Canis lupus familiaris: one gene and its partners. The protein of the gene in region 3 interacts with the protein of the main gene of each other region in a pairwise test. Links are inferred from orthologs where the notes say so. Each region holds a gene or a part of one and is shown on either strand. Other genes may lie near its edges.

Region 1 (3,649 bases), on a different chromosome or scaffold from region 3:
TTATGCTTCATGTTAGCAAGGTGTAAAGCAAGATCCTTTAGGAAAGGAGCATTTCAAACAAATACCCTGAGTATTAAAACTTATGCTACACTCTATTAAATAAACCTTTCTTGGTAATGCTTTCTGCAACAGAGTCGTGGACACATCCAACTGTTTACTGTTGTTCACAGCTTTAGAAGGTCTACGAATATTTAGCATTAAACCCAATTTTAATGGTAACAAAGGTAAAATTTCCACTAATCAAAGAATTGATTTTCACAAAAGATTATACTTACCCTCACAGCTGTACAAGCCAACTTGCAAGTAACAGAAGATTCATCCTTCAAAGTTTTCTGCAGCAAAGGAACACAGTCCGCCAGAGAAAATGTACTTCCTAACCAGAAGAGCAAACAGCGCCTTTATGCAAACTTGAACTACAGAGTTCTACCTAGGAAATACACTGCAAGTTCTGCCATTACCTGTCAGGGTCCTGACGGTGCCCATCCAATCTCCCACCTGGAAGCGGGATCTGCTGAGGATAGAGGAGATGAGGGTTCCGCAGAGAACGGCTGTGGCTCCTCTGACTTGGGGGTCTCCATGGTCGATGTAGTTCAGGATGTCTGACACATACTGCTCCTCTGTAGAGATAAATTGCCCAGCCACTGTACAAGCCCCTACCATCCATTTTCTAACTCAGAAGAAAAGTTTAATTCTCAGGAAAGGAAAAAAAAAAAAAACAAAGGTGAGGGAGGATTCCAAATCTAGAATATAGATTTGGTAAAAAAATATCATGGGGTTTAAAGATTCTAGATTCATCATAGCCTTGACATCACTTCAACACAATAGATGTTCTGGATTATAATTCCAGGCTGCCAGCCAATAATCAAAATTCCAAGATTTCACTTAAAAAAAAAAAAAAAAAGATTAGAGAAACTCAAACTAGTCCACACTTACCTAATATGAATTCAAAAGCACAAGTGTGTCCCCTCGCCCAAAGAAAGGGGGAGAACTCGGGAGGGTAATTTTAGAAGTGGGGTTCCTCCCCCATTTACTCCAACATGAGAGAATGTCCCAGAACGTGTGCTACAGGAGCCTGGATCTGCTGGTGCTCTGCTGGTCTCGGGTCGCACTTGTCTCTGAGTGTGAACATCTGGCCTGGCTGAGTGTGACCCAAAGCAATTTTGATTATACACAATTTGTGCTTTTGGTATAAATCCAGTATGTATGTAAACTGGCTCTTATGTTCCCACATTTCTATTGTTTCATCATGTGTGTTTAAACTAAACATTGCATCTACAGGGAGTCCAAAAAACAAAAAACATTACGATTTATGTGCTTTATATACAGCTACAACACAGTTCAAAAATGCCACAAATTAACTCAAAAAATATTACTCTAAACTAAAATAGCCAAGATGATCTGAAATAGTTTTCAAAGCAATGGTTAAACATGAGGAATAGACTGTGAACTTGTAACATACCAGGGTATTCCATGGTGTCAAGAGGTACTTTATAAAGTTTGCTGAAGAAAGATTCAGGATGAAGGGCCACAGCAGCTCCAACACAGCTGAGTGCCAGTGCCTTCACACTGACCCGCACGTCCCTGTCTGGAACCAAAACTGCAAGGAAGGCAGCAAAGTGACCTTCAAAGTGACAGACATCTAGTTTCCACATAAACAAAACAAGACCCAGGAACCCAGCTCCCTCATCACTCCCTCCTTCTCCCATCAGTGAAAAGGACCACCGCTCACCCCAGACTCTACTCCCTCCCTCTGCTGCGGTGATGAGGCACCAGTCACCAAGTTGACCTTGAGACCTAGGCACTTCCCTCAGCTCTGTACTTGCTCTGCTATACATACCATTTTTCTCCCCAGTCAGCAAAAATGACGCACACAGGAGGCGGACACAATGGACAAGAGGAACAGAATCATCATCGGTAGACTGTCCTATGTCACCTTTGATCCGGCAAGGCTACAACAAAGAAATGGACACTTTCTTATGATCGTTTGTCTTATGATCAAGGAACCACTATAGTCACTCGTTAGTGTGTTCAAAAAATAGGTCCAGAGCAGCAACTATGCCAGGTGCTGGGGACAGAGATACCTATCTCTGTCCCACGAAAGCCTGGCCTTAGACCATGCTGGAACAGATCCAGAGTGGTCAGAGGCAGCTACACTGTAGGGTCACGGAGACTGTGGCGGGGAGAAGTCCAATGCATGTGTGTGTGGGGGGGGCACCAGCACTCAGGAGAGGCTGCTGGGAAAGGACAGCACGAACCACCATCTACACAAGGGGAAGCACTCAGCCACAGGCAAGAGCCCTGGGAATGCCCAAAGCAGAAATGGCACAGACATATCTGTGCCTGAGCAGGACTTGGAAGGAAGTGCAGAGACTGGGCAGCTACAGAGGGACTATGGACAATTTCTCACCCTCGGGGAATTTAGAACTGAGAAGACAAGACACTTATAGGCAGTAAGCAATAGAGAGAGATTTTATAGACAATTCAATGGATAACTCAACAACAACAAAAAATTCCCAAACCTGATTAAAAACCGAGTGAAGGGCTTGAACAAACATTTCTCCAAAGACAACATACAAATGGCCAGTAAACACAGGAAGAGATGTTCCTCCATCACTCATCATTAGGGAATGCAAGTCAAAATCACAATGATCTACAACCTCACTCCCAGTAGGATGGCTACTAAAAAAAAAAAAAAAAAAAAGGCCAGAAAATGACAAGCCTTGGGCGAGGACATGGGGAAAACTGGAACCCAACATGTTGCTGGTGGGATGCAAACCGGTGCAGCTATCAGGGAAAGCAGTGTGCACGGATCTCGAAAAAAACTAAAACTAGAACTACCCTATGACTCTGCAATCCCACTTCTGGGTGTATATCCAAAAGATGCCTACATGCCAGGTTCCTAGCAGCATCACTCATAACAGCCAAAAGACAGAAGCAACCCAAGTGCCTATCAACAGATGAACAGAAAAACAATATGTGGTCCATCCACACAGTGAGGTATTACTCAGTCTTATGGAGGAAGACACTTCTTACAACATGGATGAACACTGAGAACATTGACCAAGTGAAACAAGCCGGTCACAAAAGAACAAAGACTGCCTGGTTCCACTTAGCTGAGCTTCCCCTCGAATAGTCACATATAGACACAACGCAGATGGTGGGAGCCAGGGGCCAGGAGGAGGAAAGATGGGAAGTTTGTGGTTAATGGGGACAGAGCTTCAATCTGGGGAGATGAAGAGCTCTGGAGATGGAGGGTGGTGATAGCTGCACAATGTGAATGCACTTATGCCATGGAGCTGTACACTTCACATGGTTACAATCATAAATTTTATATTTTATGTATTTTAAAACTATAAACAATCAAATGAATAATTCAATGAATAAAAACAAGAAATGCTCCAAGACTATGCACGACCATCAAATGAATGGCCCAAAAAATCAGGGGAGACAGGAATCAGTACAAGACAGATTTGTCTGAGAAGGACTCTCAAGGAGGCAGAACTCCAGGTAGTTCTCAAGGATCTGGGTAGTACCAGGAGGGGCAGAAAAGAAGAGCACACCCAGGAAGGGGTTGATATTTAGGGGGAATAGCGGAGTAGAAGCTCAGAGATGGGAAAGCGAGGAGCACAGCAGACAGGAGCCAGAGTGA
Region 2 (3,749 bases), on a different chromosome or scaffold from region 3:
AGCCTGGCAAGAGCAGCCACAGAACCAACTGGCCCAAAGTCAGCTGCGGAGAAGGAGGGTGAGGGATCAGGACCAGGCATCAGGCCTCAGGGTTGGGATCTGACCTGGAGGAAGGAGCTGTCAGAAATCCCAGAGTGGAGATCACAGGACGGGTGCTGCCTCCCTGCGCTGGCCCACAGCCAGTCTGGCCCTGCCCTGACAGCACAGGGACCCCCAGTGGGGAGGCAGGAGCAGTCGGAGTGGAGCCTTCCCTGGTGCCTGGGCTCAGGCCCTCAGCCAGGAAACAGGTCCCCTCTCAAGGCAGCCAACATGGCCAGGAGGCCAGGAGGAGGCAACAGCGTTTTCATTGGTTTCAAGCTCCAGATCTGGTATCTGCTCTCTTGACTTTCTCCCCTCTTTGGCTAAAAGGGGGTAATAATATCTTACCTTCTTTTCCAGGTGGCTAGGAAAGTCAAATAAGCTGATATATTCAGAAGTACTTTTGTAAAGGAGAAACGCGGTATAAATATGGGTAGATTGTGCCAGAAGCGGGACAAAAATCCCAGGCAGTGGTTGGTGGCCAGAGAGAGAGCTGGGGTGGATGCGGTTGATGAGAAATCCAGCCCAAAGGAATTGAGAAGACTGTGCAGGGGCTTGGCATAGGAGGCAAGGGGGAGAGGAAGGAGTTTGCTGGACACAAAGCAGAAGGAGATTCAAAACCCCAAGACCTCAAGACAGAGACACAAGGCCCACAAAGCTGGACAGAGATGGAGAGGTGAGGGAGGTGTTGCTGGCTGTGGCATCTTCCCCTCTGCACATCACCCCAGCACTTCGTGGAGTCAATCAGGCCCCATGTAACCTCCAGGCCCCAGGAGCATCAGTGTTCTTACTGGGGGCACCCCCCCCATCTCCTGGCTTGTCTTAAGCATCTCAATCAAGATCTCTGAAAATCTTTGGGTTTGAGATGAACCCAGGGGAAGCTCGCTGGGTTTTCCAGTGTCAAGCTGGCTGCTAGGCATTCTGCTAGTCTAGGAAAAACCCAGATCCAGGGGGACAAGGACCTCAATACTCCCAAGCAGACCCAAACTCCTCAGGCCGACATCCAGGAGTCTGAAGATGGGGAATAGAGGGGCTTCTGGGAGAGTGGGAGGCAGTGAATAGGGCCCCAGTGAGAGTGTATGGGCTCCAATTTCCCTTTCAGAGTGCCTGGGGTGGCTAGAGGGTGAGTGATCTGGCCCCAAAGGCTTGGGTTTCCTACTTCCTGGAGTAAAAAGCTGGCCCAGGGCTAGAATCAGGATGGCCTTTCACCTATGGTGACAGCCAGGGACAAAAGGTTCTCCCTATGTATTCCCTGACCCCGACCAGATTTTCCCAGCTGCAGGAAGGTCCCCTGGCTCCAGGCCCCAGCTAGGGAGTCAGGTGGGGGTCCAGGGCCACAAATTCCAGCCGTCCCTCTGCCCTCCTCTCCTTGTAGCGCCGGAAACTTTGGCTGAACTGGGAGATATAGAGGTGGGGTGGGCCCAGTAGAGCAGAGTCCACTACACACCCCACCAGCTTCCCCCACCCAGCTTTTCTGTCACTTCCTGTACTGTGGGCCAGAGGTGGGTGACACTTGGTTGGCAGAAAGCCCCCTCCTTACCCATGCTGCTTCCTGGTATGCTTTGATCCTTACTGGGCTGCCAGGAGTGAGCAGAGACAGAAGCTATGCCGTTGTCCGAGGCAGGCTTTGCTGGGAAGGGGCAAAGGGAAGGAATTTATACAACCAATGGGTGAGTAGGGTGGGGCAGAGGGAGGGCCTGGGTTGCAGCCCAGAATGAACTACCAAGGGCAGCTGGCCAAGACGCTCTCAAATGGCCTGGGAGGCTGGTGTTTGCATTACAAGGTTTGTGTGTGTGTGTATGTGTGTGTGTGTGTGTGTAGGAGCCTGTTCATATGTAGATATGTGCTGTGGCTGTGCACACATCTCTACTGTGGGTGTCTGGGCTTATGTGACTTTGTGGGTCTGGCATGTGCACAGTCTATATACCTGTGTGTTGCCTCCTTGTGTGTGTGTTGTGTGTTTGTGGATGAATATGTGCCAGTGTGGGTATTCCTGTGTGTCTGGACTTGTGCACATCTGTGTGTATTTTTGTGAGCATGTGCCCGCCAGAATGTTTATCCCGTGTGGGCTTGTGCATATGTTCCTGTGTGCATGAGCATGCATGCTTGTGTAAGCATATGTGTGCACATGTCCCTGCTTCTAAACGCTCATCTCTGTACTTGGATTTCTGTACTTGTAAAGGCGCCCAGGGCTGTTGGGCCCATTTGCTCCTATCCATAGCCAGGGTCAGCTTTCTCTTAAAAACACCCTCTTTTCCAGACATCCATGCTCCAAAAGGCACCATCCTACCCACCCTCAAACTGCTCACCCATGTCTTCTGGCCACAGCTGTCCTGACGAGAAGCAAGGTTTAGTATATCCAGGTTTCACTTTCTCCAGACTTGCGTATGCCTCTTGAGCTTTGAAGTGGAAGGAAAGTCAGCAGTGCCCATCATCACTTCCTATTAACCTCATAAATCTCAGGAGATAGAAGTGGAGTCCCGCCCTCCCCCCCATCTCTCTGCTTGGTCTCTCAACAGCTCCCAAGGTGGATAGCAGGGCCCCAGGGAAGCCCAGAATGGTGCCACTGTCCCTAACTGGCCTGTGATGAGTCATAAAACTCTAAGGGTCTCCAACTATGTAAGAAAGGAGTCCTCCAGCTGGAGGGTTCCCTGCTGGCAGGGGCTGCTGAGCCTGAGAGTGGCGTGTCCCAGGGACATGTAATGGCCTCCGGGCAAATGGCAGCTGCTTGCTGAAGGGCCAAGGTTCGGTTGAGGCCTGACCTGCTAGCCCTCTCTGGGGCTGCCCTCATCCAGAGAAGCCTGGGTTTGAAGGGCTATGCAAGGGAACCCGCCCCAGCAGTCCTTCATTTGAAGCCAAGGGCCCCCTCTTCCCTGAAAGCTGGCTGCCTGACAAGCATAAACTTTGCTCTACTCTTCTTGGAACCTGCTGACTCTGTGTCTATAGAAGCCACTTTCATCTCCTTGGATGAAAGCTATGGGGTGAAGTTTTTATTGGATAGTGAAAGGGACCAAGTTTGGTCTTGACACTGCCAGCGGAAAGATCCGCCGACTTTCCAAACTGCAGCAGAAGGAAGGGGAAGAAAACCGGGCTGCCAAACGGTTCCTGTGGGTGAGGAACCCACACAGGAGGATACTCTGTGGCTACCTATGGCAGGGATCTCCTCCTACCCTCTTCTCCCCAGGATCTCTCAACCTCTCCTGGCTTTCTCCTCTTTCTGCACCCTCACCATTGCACCATCAGCTAGTCGTGCTGCAGTCAGCCCTGTGGGTACAGCTGTCCTACAGGGGGTGGCCTCCGAGGGCTGCTTCTTCGCCTTTGCTGAGTTCATGCACTGGCTGCCTCCACTTACCCTGCCTTCAGCCTGCTCCCCCCCACTCTGGCCTCCTCTTCCTCCTGAGGTCCCATCTTAAGCCTCCTCTACTTTCCCGCTTTGGGACTTGAAGTAGCCCAACACCCAAGATCTGAAAGAGAAAGCAAACCCATCCTCACCCTCTTATAAAAAGTCATTGTGTCATTACCTCCAGAGGAACTGGGATTTAAAAAAAAAAGAAAAGAAAAGAAAAGAAAGAAAAGAAAAGAAAAGAAAAGAAAAGAAAAGAAAAGAAAAGAAAAGAAAAGAAAAGAAAAGAAACTGGGATTTTGTTTGTCCTGAATGAGAATTGCAAAGC
Region 3 (3,749 bases):
TTAATTCAGGAACAAAACTGGAAAAATGGGTTGAAGCTACACAGAGATCTATTATATCCCAAAATAAGGAAAAACTTTCCAGCACCCAGCTAATGGTGCAACTGTCCCTAAATGGAGAACAGGTGCTCACTGGACCCATGCAGAGTGTAGACGGCCAGCCCTGAACTAGACCTTGCCTGTGTCTCCAGGTCCAAATGGAGTCTCCAAGTCTACACATGCACACAACAGCTAATGAAAAAGCTTTTCTCCGGATTATTCAATGAATAAGTGGCTGTTCATAAAGGAGCAGTCAGGGTGTACAGGGTCCTGCAGGGAGAAGGATGTGGGTTTTGTGAATCAGTTGACACAAATCAAAAAAGTGACTTGGAAAAAAAATAAAAATACAAAAAATAAAAAGTGACTTGGATAAAGTACAAGTCTGAATCATTTTCCTATCAAACGTGTTTGTTTAAAAGAAAGACAAGAAAAAAAAAAAAAAAAAAAAAAAGAAAGACAAGAAGTTCAACTATTGCTTTCTGACTACCTAGTGAAGACAAAGAAGAGGGATGGGTTCAAGGTTGAAACAAGTGTGATGCTTGGCACAGAGGAGGCACAGCAGCTATAGACACACTGGTTTGGGTTTGTTTTTTGGACTTTTTGTTTAAAAATTAAAGGCGTGTGGCAACCCATCAGCAAGCAAGTCTATGGGTACCATTTTTCCAACTACATTTGCTCACTTTATGTCTGTCATTATTTGATAATTCTCACATTTCAAACTTTTCTTTATCATTGTATTTGTTAGGGTGATCTGTGATCAGACTCCATAAAACCTCAGATGACAGTGTTTTTTAACAATATTTTTAAATTAAGGTATGTACCTCTTTCTTGACTTAATGCTATAGTGTTAACAACCCTTATACGCACTAGAGAACCCAAAAACTTGGGTCACTTTATTGCAATATTCACCACATTGCAGTGGCCTGGAACCACATCAACAGTATCCAAGGAATGCCTATATTAAGAGTCAGGTAAGGTCACCTCCTCCAGAAAACCTTCCAAGTACCTGATGTTCTTTAATCTTCAGCCTCAGGTAATACCACTGCATCTACAGACTGTGGGTTCATTAGGGTCAGAAATTCAGTGAGATGGGGTGAGTGGTAGATAGATAAAGAGAGACCTGAGAAAAGAGAGAGGATTTTGTTTCACATGCAATGGGAAACCACTGGGAGGTTTTAAGCAAGAAAATACCACGTCATAATTTACATTTTTGAAAGATCAAGTTGGCTTCCCTGTGGAAAACTGTTTTGCTTGGTTTGGCTTGCGGGAGGGAGGACACAGAAGGAAGGTAAGAGCACAAGCAGGGAGAAGCAGGGGGGTGGACACCGCAATAATCCAAGCTGGAGAGGGGGTGGCTCTGTATTAAGGTGGAGGCAACTGAAAGAAGTGGAGAGATTCAAAATATACTTTTTTCCAATGGGAAATGAGAAAATCTGTCAAATATCAGTATTTTTAATGTAATAACTATACACATATTTAGGACTATAAAAATTAAACTTACTTTAGATACTTGGCATATTCTGGTTCTTTCCAGTAAAGCAAGTACTTAAGATAATTAACAAAAGCTTTGTCTTTGAAGTAACCTCTTTGGGCAAGAACTGAAAGGCATAAACAAACAAACAAAAAAATCTGTAGAGCAAACCAATCCTCGGACTACTGATTTGTGACCCCTCACATAAAGCATCTACTTATATAACTTCCCCACCACCAACACACACTAAATGCTGAACATAAGTCCCAATTTGTTCTCACACACACCAGTATAAGCGTAGCAGTTAATTCCACTGGATTGAGAACATATAAAAATAGGTATCATTAGGAACTGCAGTTCTTCTGCCAGAGATCACTAACAGCTACTCAAGTCAGTAAGAGCTCAAGGACTTACAGTTAAGATAATTGGGGTTGGCTAGGCACTGCACAAATTCCAGCTCCAACTGAAACCGAAGTCGATTCCCGGCATCATCTAGGAGGGAAGTGAGCAAAAATCATCCAAAGTAAAGGTGACTAAAAAATAAATAAAATAAATAAAAAACAAAATAAAGGTGACTATCTAAAGTGCTGGTTTGTAGAAAGAAAACAGCAGTGGAGTGTTCTGAGTATTGCTGAGAGTATCTCTGAAGGCATAAGGCAGGGATGACTGTCCTAAGCTGGATGTGGGAAGAGAGGGCCGTTTCCTCCCAAGTCTAGAGAGCAGGGCCCTGATTAATGAGACCAGTAACTCCTTAAGGAGAAGTCCGAGGAAGCGGGCGCCCCCTGGGCAGGATGTTCACCCTCTGGCAGCCACTCCCCAGGACCTCCAGGGTGACCAGTGGCGGAGGGCTGCAAGCTAAGCAAGAGGAGGGGGCGAGTGTGCTCCCGCTAGGGCCTGGCGGGGAGGGGGGACTGGTTCGGGGCGGCAGGATTTGGGAGGCCCGGGGGAGGGGGGTGTCAGAGCCCGGAGGCTGGGAGGGCCAGGACCTGGGATGGGTCGGGAGGCCGCGGGGTCGGGGCCCGGGAGGGGTTGAGGCTGAGGGGTGGTCGGCGTCTGCGCGGCAAGCGAGGAGGAGGTAGCCGCGGACAGGAGCCCCGCCGAAGTCACGCCACACAGGAGTCCCGGGGGAAGCTGGAGGAGGAGGCCAGCCGGCTGTAGCTGTGTTTGCCAGGGCTCCGGCCGCTACCTACCTGTCTCCATAGCGACGGCCGCGGCCATCGCCAGCAAAAGCGCCGAGACGTCACCAGCACGACGAGCAGCTTCCCGGAGGTCCCGGAAGCTGCGGCCCCACTTCCTGTCGCGGGGCAGTGTGGGATGCGGGGCGGGGCGGTCCTCTCGGGCCCCGCCCACCGGCCTCGCGCAGACTCGCAAGGGGCGAGGGGCGGAGCTGGGGCGCTCCGAGCGCGGGAGGGGTCCTGTCCCCGCCTCTCTGCTCGCCCAGTGACGTAGCCGCGGGGGTCCCGAGCGCCTCCGGGAGCGCCTACATCCCCTCGGTGGGGTCTCCCGCGGGGGCAGTCCTCAGCCGGGAGAACGCCCAGCGGCCGTTCCAACCCACAGGGACCCCCCCCTTGACCCGAGCGCAGGTGCGGCAGGTGCGGCAGGTGCGGCAGGTGCGGCAGGTGCGGCAGGTGCGGCAGGTGCGGCAGGTGCGGGGTCGGCACTGGGCCAGCCCCCTCCGCCGCGCGTCGGCCGGGTGGCCGCACCGTTGACCCCGGGAGCCCCCTTGCAGCAAGCCAGCACTGGAGGTCCGCAGGCCCGCGACGCTCCGCCAGCCTGATGGGCTGATGGATAGGGAGGCTGTTGTTCCAACCACCCTCACGATCCAGACTTCGGGGACAGGGAGCAAACCCAAACCGTGACCACTGGGAGGATCACACCGCGGCCGGAAACCGAGGGGCAAGAAACAGACCTCCATTAATTAACCAGTTGGCCTTTGTGTTTCAAACCAAGCAGGTATTTTGTTTATGCTAAGCCCTGTGCCCTGTACGGGCACCCCCAGTCACACACATTTCCATACAGGTCAGACTAGATAAAAGTCAACATCTACCATGAGGCGTGATCTCGGAAGGGAACCCGGCCCGGGTCTCGCAGAGGGCGGGGAGGGCAGTACTATTTATGGAGCCTCTCCTCTGTGGGCACTTGGACAAGGTAGGCAGGACCCAGGCTCTCAGGAGCTCACACTGGTGAAGGGGCACACGGCAAATGATGAAAAGACCATTTTCTATCGCAATGAGTAACTGAA

Evidence for each region.
Region 1: the proteins of MED31 (region 3) and HTT interact in binary tests that used the Homo sapiens proteins (3 or more experiments, as listed by UniProt). The link is inferred for Canis lupus familiaris from reciprocal best matches to the Homo sapiens genes MED31 and HTT.
Region 2: the proteins of MED31 (region 3) and SELENBP1 interact in a two-hybrid assay, tested with the Homo sapiens proteins (2 studies listed by BioGRID and IntAct). The link is inferred for Canis lupus familiaris from reciprocal best matches to the Homo sapiens genes MED31 and SELENBP1.

What each region holds. Positions count from the first base shown.
Region 1 is NC_049224.1:61,700,844-61,704,492, forward strand, and holds part of HTT (huntingtin), read right to left. Parts: intron 1,950-3,649; coding exon 1,838-1,949; intron 1,598-1,837; coding exon 1,460-1,597; intron 618-1,459; coding exon 459-617; intron 374-458; coding exon 276-373; intron 1-275.
Region 2 is NC_049238.1:61,075,905-61,079,653, forward strand, and holds the start of SELENBP1 (methanethiol oxidase), read right to left. Parts: upstream 2,422-3,749; 5' UTR 2,392-2,421; coding exon 2,388-2,391; intron 1,709-2,387; coding exon 1,619-1,708; intron 1-1,618. UniProt on the Homo sapiens protein: Catalyzes the oxidation of methanethiol, an organosulfur compound known to be produced in substantial amounts by gut bacteria. Selenium-binding protein which may be involved in the sensing of reactive xenobiotics in the cytoplasm.
Region 3 is NC_049226.1:30,892,462-30,896,210, reverse strand, and holds the start of MED31 (mediator of RNA polymerase II transcription subunit 31), read right to left. Parts: upstream 2,854-3,749; 5' UTR 2,726-2,853; coding exon 2,698-2,725; intron 2,000-2,697; coding exon 1,922-1,999; intron 1,635-1,921; coding exon 1,538-1,634; intron 1-1,537. UniProt on the Homo sapiens protein: Component of the Mediator complex, a coactivator involved in the regulated transcription of nearly all RNA polymerase II-dependent genes.